3 linked regions of the Macaca fascicularis genome follow. The protein of the gene in region 1 purifies or fractionates together with the protein of each later gene. This does not show direct contact. Links are inferred from orthologs where the notes say so. Each region holds a gene or a part of one and is shown in the gene's direction. Other genes may lie near its edges. The genes, in order: ZNF219, CDK2AP1 and CHD3.

Region 1 (4,780 bases):
GTTGCCTAAGCTGGTCTCAAACTCCTGGGCTCAAGTGATCTCCCCTCCTTGGCCTCCCAAACTGCTGGGATTACAGGTGTGAGCCACTGTGTGTGTCCTGATAGATACGTTTTTCTACCTATTCGAACCTCAGTTTGTTCACTGATAAAAGGGGGCTAACAATATGACTATGAAGAGTTGTTGATTCAGGGTGGGTGCTTACTATTAGTGGTGCTGATGAGGTCAAACTGATGAGCCTGATGCCCATACACTAAAGGTGTTATTCAGCAGGTGAGCTGGGGACACATTTCTACAGTCAGAAGCACAACCAGCTGGGCCCAAATATAGTCTATAGATCAAAACAAATCCCAGGTCTACCTGGGTGCCCTTGGCAAGTTGCTTAATCTCTCTGTTCCCTTATCTATAAAAGGAAGTTAATAATACCAGTCTCAAGGGGTTGCTTTCAGCATGGAAGAGAGCTTAGCCCAGTATCTGGCACACAAGTGCTCAATGTTAGTGGCTATGATCATCATCACTATTACTTCTTGTTGTTGACGGTAAGAGGAGACTGCGCCAGAAGACTCTAGAAGTTAGTAGAGGAGGCACGGTCCTGGGAGGCAAGTGATCTTTTGTAAGCCACTCCTGCCCCATCAGTGCTGTGCCAACATCGGCGGGGCACTGTATCTACTTTTTTCTTTCCCGGGGAGTGGGAGTCACGTTTTAAAGAGATCCAGAAAACTGTTGTGTATCTACTCCTCCTCAATTCCCATGTGCATTGATTTTATTTGGTGGCGATGTGAGATGTTGGGCTTGCACTGAGGATCCCTGAGCCTGCAGGCCATTGGGGAAAGAGACTTCCTGAAGCCTCATTTTTCTTACTTGTAAATGGGGACTAATTTTATTATAGAGGGTTATTGGAAAGATTATAAACTATTAGATAGGTGAACAGGCATTCAGTAAATATTGAATAAATCTGAGTATACTACTTACTAGTTTGTAGTCTAGACTACAATCGCCTGGAAGGAAGGTACCACTTCTCTCTCATCCCTCACAGCGCTGAGCCCAGTGCCTGGCACTTAGTAAGCACTCAGTAAATATTTGTTGTATTGAAGAGCCATTAAAGTGACTTGAGGGATGGAAAATAGAATTCGAGAGGAAGGAGCAGGAATTGTTTATCAAGAACGGAAAGGACCGAAGAGTAACTTTAATAATGTTTCTTATACGGCCGACATTAACTATCTCTATAATCGCCCCTCCTCCTCCCCCAAAAGAGAGACAGAAATTGTAAGGGAGAGGCTTTGAGATAAAACCCCAGGAAGAACTTCCCGAGTCTGTGCATGTTGGGGCAGAAAGAGCGGCAGAGCCAACTCCTTCCCTGGTATGTCCGGGTTTAGGGAGGGAGGGGCAGTGCTGCTTGGAGGCTGGGGGAAGGACGAGATGACCTTTCAAAATCTCTTCCAGTCTCCTGTTGGAATCCTCTGTGCGCCCCACCCCCGCTCCCTCCCTTACTCCCTCCGACAGCGCCCCCCGTCTCCAAACCGCCCGCACCCCGCCCCTGGCGGCCGCCTCTCGCGGCTCCCGGGGTCCCCAGCTCCCTGTCCCCGGAGCCAGAGCCCGGCTCCCGCGCGGCTCCCAGCCCCGCCGCGCCGCCCCCCGCATGCTAATGGCCGGGCCGCCTCCCGCCGCACACAATGCGGGCCAGGGCCGGGGGCGGGGGACCGGGGAGGGGGCGGGGGCCGGGCCGGGGGCGGGGGGGCCGGGGCCCGGCGCATCTCCCCCGGCCCCACGTAACGCTGACGCCCGCGCCGCCGGCCCGCCGCCCGCCGCCGCCGCCGCCGCCGCCGCCCGCTCCGCCGCCGCCCGCCCGGGGCTCGTGAGTAGCCGCTCCCCCCACTCCCGGGCCCCCCCGTCCGCCACCCGGCCCCCGCCCCCGGCCCCCTCCCCCCCTCCCGGAGGGGGGGCCCGCTCAGCGCGCCCGGCTCGGAGCAGGTGCAGGGGGCGGGGGCGGGGGAGGGGCGCCGGCTCGGCCCCAAGCAAACTTCGCCCAGAGCTCCTGGGGGGGCGGGGTGGGGGTGGCGGCCTCGGAAGCCTGGAGAGCTGGGGGGCCCCAAGGAAGGGGGGGCCAGGTGGAGGAGCTGGGGGAGCAGACACCAAAGGGAAGGGCCAACGGGGGGGATGTGGCGGGGGAGGTGGCGGGTGTCTTTGTAGGGGCCCGAAGGCAGGGCGCGAGGGGCCTGGGGGTGAGGGGCGGCAGAGCCGCGAGCCTGAGTGGATGTGCACCCCTCAACCCCCGGCCCAGGTAGGGCTGGTGGGGGAGGGGGAAGGAGCCCAAACTCTCCGGGAGCACGGGGTGGCGGGGGAGGGGAGAGGATGGGGGGTGCTTCCCTCTTTGCGTCCCAAACAAAGTGTCACAAAGAGCTCGGCCCGCGGCAGCAGCGGAGGCGGCTGTAACTCAGCTTTTGTTCTCCTGGCCGGGGGTAGCTGAGCCTTGGCCTCCCTATCTCCCAACCCTGCCCCCCATCATCCTTCTGGCTTATCTTCCTGGGGAGGGGTCTGAGGTGCTGCTGGAAAAACCTCTCGGGCAGGATTGCAGGTCCTACCCTACTTAGCAATCTATTTCTGGGAGGGGGATTTTCCCAGAGGCTCCCTTGGTCACCCCTACGTCCCAGTCTGAGGACTGAGGCTCACGTGGGTGCTAATACTGACTTTTCTAGGGTCAGCTCTACTTAAGGGGACTTAGGGCTGTCAACATGACCCCCGTTCCCAAACCCAGGTCCTCCAGAACTTTCAAAATCAAAATCGGGGTTGCGTTAGGACATGCCTCTGGGATAAGATTCCCCATGGTGGGATGGCAGCAGGTGAGCAGGTGTGCCTTCCTCTTGCTTCCTGCTGTACCTTTGGAGTCCATGGCTGAGGTTCCATGTCTCCAACTCAGGAGAGTGAGGACACAGGGAAGGAGGCTTTACCAAGAACTCAGTCTAAAAAGGCTGGCGAGCTGCAGAGTGGAGTGGGTTTGGAGGAGCTATCTGAGCAGTGAGGTTCAGAGGGCCATGGAGAGGAGACCATAAAAGTGAACTACTGGTGTGTGTGTGTGATCAAGGTAGTCTTGACTGTAGACCGCCCTAGAAGCTCCCTTTGCTTTTAACCCCATCTAGTGCAGTGGTAATCATAATTGTTAGCAGATTCGGGAGGTGTAGGATTCTCAAGAGGGAAAACTGTTGTGTTAGAGGTGACCAGAGGCAGTTACAACTGGACCCCAGAAGTCCTGAACCCTTGCTCCTTACACTTTGACCCTAAAAACTTTTGAATCACAAGACTTGAGGGACAGTCTTTGTGTTCCATTTAGCAAATACTTCTATGTACCTGTCCTTGTTGTTTCTAAGTCTTTTCACCAACCATTCCATCCTTCTCTACTGAGTAAGGTTTAGTGATCCACACCCACTTCCCTACCAGCTGCCCCAGCATGTAAGGATAATTGGCCTGTTGCTTTTGAAAGGTTTCTGATACCTATCCCTGGCCCTTCATCCTTACAGAATCCAAATAAGGGCAAGATAACCCCTGATTCCCAGTGGGGGTGGAAAGTAGGTCAGTGCTGCTGTCTGGCCAAGTCTCGGGATGGTGTTTAAGGCCTGACTATAGAAAACTCTGTGATTATTGTCCAGGGCAATATATGCATGACCTCGGTTCCAAGGCAGTTCATAGTATCCCAGTCCCTGTCAGTTCTTTCCCCTACTGAGAAAAAATCATGGGATCAGGTATCTGGAACCTGGTTTGATATGGAGATGATTCAGGAGATCTTGATTGGGCCTAGGAAGGTATCTCAGTGAGTTTTGTTGATTTTAGGCCACATTCTGGGGAAACTTTCCCTGCTGGGGAATTCAGCTTCAGTTTGGGCCTTCTTGTATATCACTCTATTTCTGTTCTGGAAACTGCTATGTGCAAAGTGGTTTATTGTTGTTTTGTTTTGGGATAGGAAGCTTTGCCCTATTCCCACTCTTTTTGCCTCAGATATGAGGCCAGCTTCCTATGAGATTTTGCTGGCTATCCTACAGACAGTTTTATGGGCCCTAGAATCTTCTCAGAATGAGAGTATGTGCCCATAGGTTAGTCAGCTATGACCATGCAGTATTCCCAGCCCCCCCGCCTCCACCATCTGCTTCCTCTGAATATACCAGATTGGCTGTACACCAGGATGTTCCGGGAATCCCCGGGAGAGCAACAGAATGTGATGGACCCAAATATGATGCCTCAGTAACTCATTCCAGGATGTACAAACTGTAACTGTCAGGATGCTCCTTATAGCTAATTAAAATTCTTCTAGTTACATCTATTTTCTATTAGCTCTTTCTATTTTCAGTGACATCTAAAAGGCCAAAATAATCCCTCTGGTACCACTGGGTTTTTTTCTATGGTTTTCAGATAGGAACGAAAAAAAAAAAAATGCTCTAGCTTTTCTGTGTTGTATCTGTGATGCTAAAATGGCAAAGAGCCCCTCTAGCACCTCATAGCTCTATCTATGGTACTGAGGTGGCCCAAGTGGCTTCTGTGGTAGCCCACTGCACTCTCCATGGTACTGAAGGGATGACCATTTGTTTTAACATCTCTCTGGGGTCCAAAAGAGTTCTATGACTTAGAACCACAAATTTTTTTGAGCAGGAAGGGACTAACAATATAAATTAGTCCAATCCCCTTATTTTACTGATGAGTAAACTGGGAGGTTAAGTGATTTAGTAAGGGTTGTAGGGTTATCAATGTTCAGACTAGGCCTACAATAGCCTTGTACCCCTCAGTCCTATTCTAA
Region 2 (4,810 bases), on another chromosome or scaffold:
AATAGTTCGAAGCTACAGTAAGCTGTGATCAAGCCACTGCACTCCAGCCTGGGTGACAGAGGGAGACAATGTGGAAATAGATTGGTTCAGAGTACTCATAGAAGGGACTGGGCCTGCCAGTGAGATCTGGATTCTTGCCCCGAGGAAATGGAGGCCTAGTCAAACAGTCAGTGGGTGGGGGAGTCAGAGTCAGTACCCGGTGTGTATGCCTCAGGAGCCCTCTGCTAGTAGCTGCAGCCCTGCACTGTTCAATATGGTGACCCCTAGCTGTGGTGGCTACTGAGCGCTGAAACGTCGCTACTCTGAATTAAAATGTGCTGTAAGTATAAAACACACACTGGATTGCGAAGACTTAGTATAAGAGAATGTAAAGTGTCTTATTAATAATTCCCTTTAATTCATTATATAGTGAAATCATGCTGTTCTGGAGCTATTGTTAAATAAAACATGTTAAAATCAATTTCACCGGTGTTTTTTTACTTTCTCAAATGTGACTACTGAAAAATTGAAAATTACTTATGTGGCTGGCATGCTATTTCCATTGGACAGTGCTGCTCTAGAGGACTAGGCGCCTGGGACCAGCCACATGGGTGGCATTAATTTATTCATGGAATAAGGTTTCACTGAGCATCCTTCGCTAGTGCTGGTCTACAGCTGATCTCAAGGGTGGGGGTTAAGCTGGGGAGGGGGTGTCGTCGCCTGCACCTTTGGTCCTAAAGGAGAAGGCAGGCCTGGGTGGGCATCCCTAGGTGGGTGCTTTTGTTACCAGATCCGGAGATGATGCTTGCACGGCTGTGTCTAATTAAATCTGCAAACCATGGCGATTAAAAACAACAGAAAAGGGTGGGCATCTTATGTATTTTAACGAGCTTTACTACTTCGGCAGAACTCCAAAATTAAAAAAAAAAAAAAAAAAAAAAAGAAAAAGAAAAAAAAGAGAACAAACCCACAACCTTTAGGTTATTCATCTAATCCAAATCCAAAATACACTCGATGATTACATTTCAATCAGATCCGAAGATGGGCTGGGGGTGGGGTCGAAGGAAGATTTAAATTGCCCCGTAAAACTCCAGGGGGTAGAAACTTTGCCAAGTTCAGTTCTTGTATCCTCAGCGCTTGGAACAGTGAGTGGCGCATAGTAGGTGCTTCCCTTAAATACTGGAGTGAGTCTACGCACGAAATTGTGCGATTCAGGGGTGAGTTTTCCGGGAAGGGGGATGAGGGGTGGAGAAGGCCTCTAGCTTTTGTCAGTCTCACAGGAGTCTTGGATCCCCAAAGGGTTAAAAACCACTTCATAAAGACAGGGACATGAAATTTATTTGAAATCAATGTCAAGCATCAGTTATTCGAATCCTGGGGCTTGGCCAGACCCGGGCGTCTGGAATGATCTACGTGCTTAAATACACCACTCGCCACCATTTTCTCCAGGTAATTTTCCATCCCTGCCCCCACCGTCAAGGGGAAGAAAGTGCTCCTCGGATCCCGGCCGCCCTGGCCTCCTGCAGCTGCCGCGGGGGCGGCCCCCAGTGCACCCCTGGAGCGCCCGGCGCGGGGCGGCCGCCCGGACGCGCGCGGGCCTCAGGCGCCGCCGGGACCCCAGCCCCCCAAACTTTGGCAAGTTGCGGGCGCCGAGCGCACCCGGAGGCGCGGGGCGCGGCCGCAGGCGGAGCCGCCCCCTGACGCCGGGCCGCCCCCTCCCGGCCCCGGCCGCCCCGCCGGCTCCGCGGAAAGTTTGCGGCCGCCCCTGCGCCGCGCCCGGGGCCTGGGTGAGACTGCGGCGGCGGCAGGGCGCGGACGGCCATATTTGCCGGCGCGGCCCGAGCCGCCGACAACAAAAAGTGCGCGGGCGCTCGGCGGGCGCTCGGACGGGCGCGGGGCTGCCACGCTGCCGCCCGGCCTCGCCGCCGCCGCCGCCGCCCTCGCGGCCTGGCCCCGCCGCGCCCGGCGCGCCCGCCGCCCGGGGGGATGTCTTACAAACCGAACTTGGCCGCGCACATGCCCGCCGCCGCCCTCAACGCCGGTGAGTGAGCCGCGTGCGACGCGCCCCGAGCGCCGCCAAGTTGGGGGTCCGCGCGCCCAGCCCCGGCCGGGGGATGCCGTGGGCGCCCGCGGAGGCCGGGGGCGGGGGGCTCAGGGTCCCGGCCCGGGGCAGCGCTGCCGCCGCCATGATTTCCGAGCCCGCGCCGCCAAAGTTCGCTGGTGCGCCCCGCACGCCGAGGGCCTTGGCTGGGGGTGCGGGGCGGGCGGCCTGGGGTGACCCCCGCGCCGGCGGCTGCGGATCGCAGGGAGCGCGGCGGGCGAGGGCGAGGGCGGGGGAGGCTTGTTCTCGTCTCCTTTTTCCTCCCGCTTCTGGGCGGCTCGGCGAGGGCCCCTGCCGGCGGGAGTCGGGAGCGGCCCGGGCCGCGCCGGGAGCGGGGAGCGGGGCGCGGGGCGCGGGGCCCCGCCGCCCTGGGGAGCGGGGTCGTGGAGCGGCCCGGGCGGGAGACGCTGCGGGCAGGGCCAGGCCCCGCGCGGGCCGGCGCGGGCGGAGGGCTGCGGGGCTGCCGCGGGCCCTGAGGTCGTGGGGCCGCCGGGACTGGGACCGGGATGGGGTCGCCGGTGGGCAGCGGACTCGGAGGCCGGGGGGCCTCGGCCGGGCGCGTGGGAGCAGGGACTGCCCCATGCGGTCACGCGGGGATCCCCGTAAGGTGTGCGCGGAGTGAACGAAGTTGGCGCAGTCCTGGGGCTGCTAGGGCCCGCGCGCGGGCGTGGGGGCAGGGGGTCACGCGGACGCCCCATCTGGGAGCCCCCAGGGCTGATCCGGGAAGGCCCTCGATGCAGAAGCCGGGAGGGGCTCCCCTCGACCTTCCTGGGGCTGCGGCGGCAGCCGGGCGCTCCCAGGAAACTCCTCCAGAAGTTGTCAGGCAGCTTCGGGCTGAGCCCAGGGGACCGAGGGAGCCATGGGGAGTGGGCGCAACATTGAGGGATTGGTAGGTGCCGGGCTTTGTGACCTCACTGGGGCCCCTCTTCTCTGACACTTGGTCGGAAACAGACTTCCCAAAAGGCGGTTGTGTTGCGGGGCGTGGGGGGTAAGGACTCGGAGGGAAAGGAGTGGCCCCGTTGGTCACCGGTGCCACGCTGGCTCTCCTGCTCGAGTTTTGGGCCTTGTTTGCAAACGTTGACTTCATAAACCTCCCACATCCGAAGTAGGACCCATAAAAACGATATTTAAAAAAACCTTGGACACTGAGGTGTAGGGGCAGGAAAGGGTTAATCGTCAGGGTGCTGAGGGAGAGTTGAATTGCTCACTTGTGGGCTCGGAGTCCCAAAGAGCAAACAGCCACTGTTTTCTTCTCAAACATTCTCACCTCCTCTGGGGTCCGCAGACCTTACAAAGACGGGCTTTGTTGCCAGGTAGGACTGCCAGCAGCGTTCTTCCTCTGGCCTGTGGGGAGGGCAGGGGCTGGTGTTGCCAGCCTGGGCAAGGCTGACAGCTCAGGCTTGACCTGGTGTCATTGGGGCCGGGGCCTTAAACTGGGACCTTCAGGGTTTGGGGTCACAGGGATAGCGGCACTCACGGGGACCCCTGAAGTCCTGTTCTGAGCTGGCTGCACCTGTATTCAGCTTTTCTTCTCTTTCTCCTGTGGAGAATTTCAGGAGTGCCGAGATCCCCAGATCTGGGCTTTTTGGTGCCCCTCCCTCTCCCCCATGGACCCTTTTGCAGAACCCCAGCTCCCCTCCTGCCATTTGCATCCAAGATGGACTCTCCGCTGCTGCCGCTGCTCCTCCGGCTTCCTTGTCATCATCCCTCACGCCCTGCAGCCCTGCCTCCTGCTCACGGGTTGCCAAGCCGCGGCCTGGCCGGTGGTGGCAGTGGCGGAGTTAGACAAAGCCCCCGCCTCCCCCGCCCCAGAGCCCCCCAGGCGCCCCAAGTGGCGGGAAGGCCGCCAGCTCCCCAGGCCCCGGCGCTCTTTGTCTGGCGTGGGGGCGGGGAGCCGCGCCTGGCCCCAGGAGCTTCCTGGCCTCTGCCAACCCCTCGCTCCTGCACACTGCGCTCATTGTCTGAGATGCGCCGAGACGGCCTGCGCTGACGTGGTCCCTGTGTCCCGGTCCCTGTGTCTGCAGGAAGGAGTGACCATGAGTGGAACTCGGGGCATTTCCGCCATCTCTCTCCAGGACTAGACACCCCCCACCCAACCCTGAACAAGGGACTGGCCTGGACAGAGCATTGGAGTCACCGAGCTATTGCTCCTCGTCCCCCCAGCCAAAATGGGACAATTTCTCATTCCTCCTTCCTCTCAGCCCCGCAAAACCTAACCCCAGTATCATCAAATAGTAGGGTCTGGAGCCTGTAGACCTTCTCTTGGGAAGCACTGCCTCTAACAAATGGAGAAACTGAGGACTGGAGGGCGGGGGGCCTGTCTGAGGTCACACAGCCAGGAGTGGCACAGCTGGGGCTGGCGCCAAGTCCAGTGGGGAGGACAGAAAAGGAGAGGTGAGGAGCAGTGGGCAAAGCAGTTGGGGAAGAGGACGGGGGCACACCGAGTTGATTCGAGGGTGCGTGGGAAGTGGCTAGCGCCCCTCCTGCCAGGCTGCTGGGATCTTGCAAACGCCCAGGGTGCTGTGCTCTATGGTCCCTCCCAGAAACTGGCCCTCGAGGCCAGAGAGGTGTAGCTACCAGGATCGAAACCCAGGTCTCTGCCAGCAGAGCCTGTGTTCCCCATGCCACGCTTGCTGCCACATCAGAAGCTCAGGAAACTGGGGTTTGGCTGATGTGGTGAGGGGGCGCTGGGGGACATCGCCCTGCCCAATTCCTGCAGTGGCCGTGGAC
Region 3 (4,046 bases), on another chromosome or scaffold:
ATCCGTGAGGGCCAAGGATCCAGAGACAGGGATCTGTGAGGGCCAAGGATCCAGAGACAGGGATCCGTGACGGACAAGGATCCAGAGACGGATCTGTGAGGGACGACGGAGCAGGAAGCCAAAGGCCTGGGGAGGGCGTGGAATGAAGTCTGCCTCACTGACGGCCATGGGGCTATGGGCAGTATGTTTTTCAGAGTGACGAAGGTCCTGAACCAGAGGCTGAGGAGTCAGACCTGGACAGTGGCAGTGTCCACAGTGCCTCAGGCCGGCCTGATGGCCCTGTCCGCACCAAGAAACTAAAGAGAGGCCGGCCAGGAAGGAAGAAGAAGAAGGGTAAGGAGTGTTGACTGCGTGTGATCCTGTCAGTGGGCCATCCTCTCATTCTTATTTTCAATTTTGACTTCTCTCTTCAACCCTTCTCCCTCTCTCTCTCCATCTCCCCCTGCCCCACTTCCTTATCCCTCCACCGGGGTATATGACAGTCCTGGGCTGTCCTGCAGTGGCCGGGGAGGAGGAGGTTGATGGCTACGAGACGGATCACCAGGATTACTGTGAGGTGTGCCAGCAGGGTGGGGAAATTATTCTGTGTGACACCTGCCCTCGTGCCTACCACCTCGTCTGCCTTGATCCTGAGCTTGACCGGGCTCCCGAGGGCAAATGGAGCTGCCCTCACTGTGTGAGTACCTAATGCCAGCATCTGATGACCCTGAGGAACCCACCCATCTCTTTCCCCCTTGGTTTCACTTACCCTCTTCCTACCCCCAGATGGCTGGACTTCTTAGTAACAGATGTCCAAGTGTCTAGGATCCTAATGTATTCCTTTCTCCCACACCTTTGCTCCCAGAATCAGCATTTCTGAAACTGGAGTGTCCTTTTCTTTAGTTCCCACCAGTCTTCTCTGCACTTCTAGGATTCAGGTGTCCTGTCTTTGCCTGTATCTTCCAGTTTCATTCCTTAACTTCTGCCATCTGTCTGTGTGTCTGTCCTTGGCCCCCTAGGAGAAGGAGGGGGTCCAGTGGGAGGCCAAAGAGGAAGAGGAGGAATACGAAGAGGAGGGAGAGGAGGAAGGGGAGAAGGAGGAGGAGGATGATCACATGGAGTACTGCCGCGTGTGCAAGGACGGCGGGGAGCTGCTGTGCTGTGACGCGTGCATCTCTTCCTACCACATTCATTGTCTAAACCCTCCCCTGCCTGACATTCCCAATGGTGAATGGCTGTGTCCCCGATGCACAGTGAGTGGAAACATCTCCCCTCTGTATTTACTGTCGGGCCTGATCCCTTCCCCCATCCCTGGGGCCCACATGTCCAGCTTTTCCTTTCTCTGCACTCCCCCACTCTGTGGGACCCCTATCCTGTCATCTAACGATGGGTTCTGTCTGCCTCTTTTTTTTCCTTCTCCTTGTACATGTCCATCCCAAAGTGCCCTGTGCTGAAGGGTCGAGTGCAGAAGATCTTGCATTGGCGGTGGGGGGAGCCGCCTGTAGCAATGCCAGCCCCTCAACAGGCAGACGGGAATCCAGATGTCCCAGCCCCGCGTCCTCTTCAAGGCAGATCAGAGCGAGAGTTCTTTGTCAAGTGGGTGGGACTATCCTACTGGCACTGCTCCTGGGCCAAGGAGCTTCAGGTACTAGGACCTTTGCTTTCCCTCTCCCCCATGACCTCATTTCCTGCCATCCTCTCCCTCTCTTACTCCTCTGTTTGCTGGGTTCCCATACCCTTCATTTTCTCTCGTTTCAGGCCTCTGGCCTTTATACCCTACTTGCTTAGTTTCCATCTGTGGTTCTTTTGGTCTACAGTCCTCTTTCTCTCAGTCTCCATTAGCTTTCTTCCCTCAGATATAGCATAGCCTTTCTTAACTTCACGTCCTTCCTTATCTATCTTTTTCCATGTTTTATAATATTCCTGGCTGGGCATAGTGGCTCACACCTATAATCTTAGCACTTTGGGAGGCCAGGGGAGGATGATTGCTTGAGACCAGCCTAGGCAACATAGTGAAACCCTATCTCTATTTAAAAAAACAAAATTATCGGCTGGGTGCGGTGGCTCACGCCTATAATCCCAGCACTTTGGGAGGCCGAGGGAGGCGGATCACCTGAAGTCAGGAGATCGAGACCGTCCTGGCTAACACAGTGAAACCCCGTCTCTACTAAAAACACAAAACATTTAGCCAGGCATGGTGGTGGGCGCCTGTAATCCCAGCTACTCGGGAGGCTGAGGCAGGAGAATGGTGTGAACCCGGGAGGCGGAGCTTGCAGTGAGCCAAGATCGTGCCCCTGCACTTCAGCCTGGGCTACAGGGCGAGACTCCATCTCAAAAAAAAAAAAATCTCAATGTTTATAACCCCATTCCCTATCTCCTTTTGCTCATAACAGCCCCACCCAGGCCGTGTCTTCTGAAACTGTTGCATCTGTTTCATTTTATTTATTCTCCTGTTTTGACTTTGACTCATTTGTCTCTAATCCATCCTTTTTCTTCCTTTCTTTTTTCTTTTCTTTTTTTTTGAGATGGAGTTTTGCTCTTGTTGCCCAGGCTGGAGTGCAGTGGCACGATCTTGGCTCACTGCAACCTCTGCCTCCCGGGTTCAAGCGATTCTCCTGCCTCAGCCTCCCAAGTAGCTGGGATTACAGGCGCCCGCCACCACGCCCGGCTAATTTTGTATTTTTAGTAGAGATGGGGTTTCTCCATGTTGATCAGGCTGATCTCGAACTCCCAGCCTCAGGTGATCCACCTGCCTCAACCTTCCAAAGTGCTGGGACGCGCCTGTTATTCTCTTATTGCCCAGGCTAGAGTGCAGTGGCGCGACCTTGGCTCACTACAGCCTCCACCTCATGGGTTCAAGAGATTCTCCTGCCTCAGCCTCCTGAATATCTGGGATTACAGGCATGTGCCACCACACCTGGCTAATTTATGTATTTTTAGTAGAGATAGGGTTTCTCCATGTTGACCAGGCTGGTCTTGAACTCCTGACTTCAGGTGATCCGCACCCCTGAGCCTCCCAAAGTGCTGGGATTACAGGCATGAACCACCGCGCCCAGCCAATCTATCCTTTTTCATAGCTCTCTTTCCCTGTCCCATTCCTCCTGCTGGCCTCTTCCCCGTTCCCTGTTGTCCTCTGTGAGTGTCAGGCCTGTCTCTTCCTCGTTTTTCTGTGCCCTATCAGCTGGAAATCTTCCATTTGGTTATGTACCGAAACTACCAGCGGAAGAATGACATGGATGAGCCCCCGCCCCTGGACTATGGCTCCGGCGAGGATGATGGGAAGAGTGACAAGCGTAAAGTGAAAGACCCACACTATGCTGAGATGGAGGAGAAGTACTATCGTTTTGGCATCAAGCCAGAGTGGATGACTGTCCACCGTATCATCAACCACAGGTGAATCCTTGGCCCTGGGAAGTAAGACCTGGTATATGACACTATTCTTACCATGGTGATAGCCTCATGTTAGTATTTGCTGATTAACCAGGTAATTGATCTAACCTTGATAACCTCTGCTGTAGCTTCAGCCTTTCTGGCCTTGTTTCCTCCAGGGGAATGGGAGAAAACAGGAGGAAAGTTCGGCCAGGCAGTGCCTCTTTTGTCATCTCCAGTGGCATAAGACATAGCACATGAGTCTGGGGATGAGGGCATGAAAGCAAAACATGAGAGACATAATTCATCCAGACCAGTGTTCTGAATATTTCTTCTTCATGGTACTTATTACTGCCTAAAGTTACGGTATTTATTTAGTTATTTCAATGCTGTCTTCCCCATGAGACTCTGAGGTCCATGAGGAAAATACTTAGTGATTAGGTGAACAAATGATATAAGGAGGGATCTCCAGGAATGTTTTGTGATAGTTGATTTTTAGGATACCATCCTGAGAAGGTTAGGCTGCCAGGTTAACTATTCTCACGTCCCTTCCAGCGCCCACTGTTGAAGGTTGGGTGACAAATTTTGTGTGTTTGCTGATAATTGCGTTTCTCAGGCCTTCTTGCTGTTTGTGATCTATGCAATTTTTGTTTCCTCCTGCTCCTCCTTATGGCCTCCTGCCCCACAGTGTGGATAAA

The links.
Region 2: the proteins of ZNF219 (region 1) and CDK2AP1 purify together in Homo sapiens (affinity purification with mass spectrometry; 3 studies listed by BioGRID and IntAct, counting the BioPlex papers as one, with this or other methods). This does not show direct contact. The link is inferred for Macaca fascicularis from reciprocal best matches to the Homo sapiens genes ZNF219 and CDK2AP1.
Region 3: the proteins of ZNF219 (region 1) and CHD3 purify together in Homo sapiens (affinity purification with mass spectrometry; 3 studies listed by BioGRID and IntAct, counting the BioPlex papers as one, with this or other methods). This does not show direct contact. The link is inferred for Macaca fascicularis from reciprocal best matches to the Homo sapiens genes ZNF219 and CHD3.

The regions. Positions count from the first base shown.
Region 1 is NC_088381.1:88,762,365-88,767,144, reverse strand, and holds the start of ZNF219 (zinc finger protein 219), read left to right. Parts: upstream 1-1,514; 5' UTR 1,515-1,670; coding exon 1,671-1,852; intron 1,853-2,595; exon of another isoform or gene 2,596-2,729; coding exon of another isoform or gene 2,730-2,845; intron 2,846-4,780. UniProt on the Homo sapiens protein: Transcriptional regulator. Recognizes and binds 2 copies of the core DNA sequence motif 5'-GGGGG-3'. Binds to the HMGN1 promoter and may repress HMGN1 expression. Regulates SNCA expression in primary cortical neurons.
Region 2 is NC_088385.1:130,399,869-130,404,678, reverse strand, and holds the start of CDK2AP1 (cyclin-dependent kinase 2-associated protein 1), read left to right. Parts: upstream 1-1,768; 5' UTR 1,769-1,965; coding exon 1,966-2,020; intron 2,021-2,363; exon of another isoform or gene 2,364-2,687; intron 2,688-3,290; exon of another isoform or gene 3,291-3,393; intron 3,394-4,810. UniProt on the Homo sapiens protein: Inhibitor of cyclin-dependent kinase CDK2. Also acts as a component of the histone deacetylase NuRD complex which participates in the remodeling of chromatin.
Region 3 is NC_088390.1:7,962,183-7,966,228, forward strand, and holds part of CHD3 (chromodomain-helicase-DNA-binding protein 3), read left to right. Parts: intron 1-182; coding exon 183-333; intron 334-482; coding exon 483-676; intron 677-998; coding exon 999-1,232; intron 1,233-1,420; coding exon 1,421-1,624; intron 1,625-3,160; coding exon 3,161-3,372; intron 3,373-4,036; coding exon 4,037-4,046.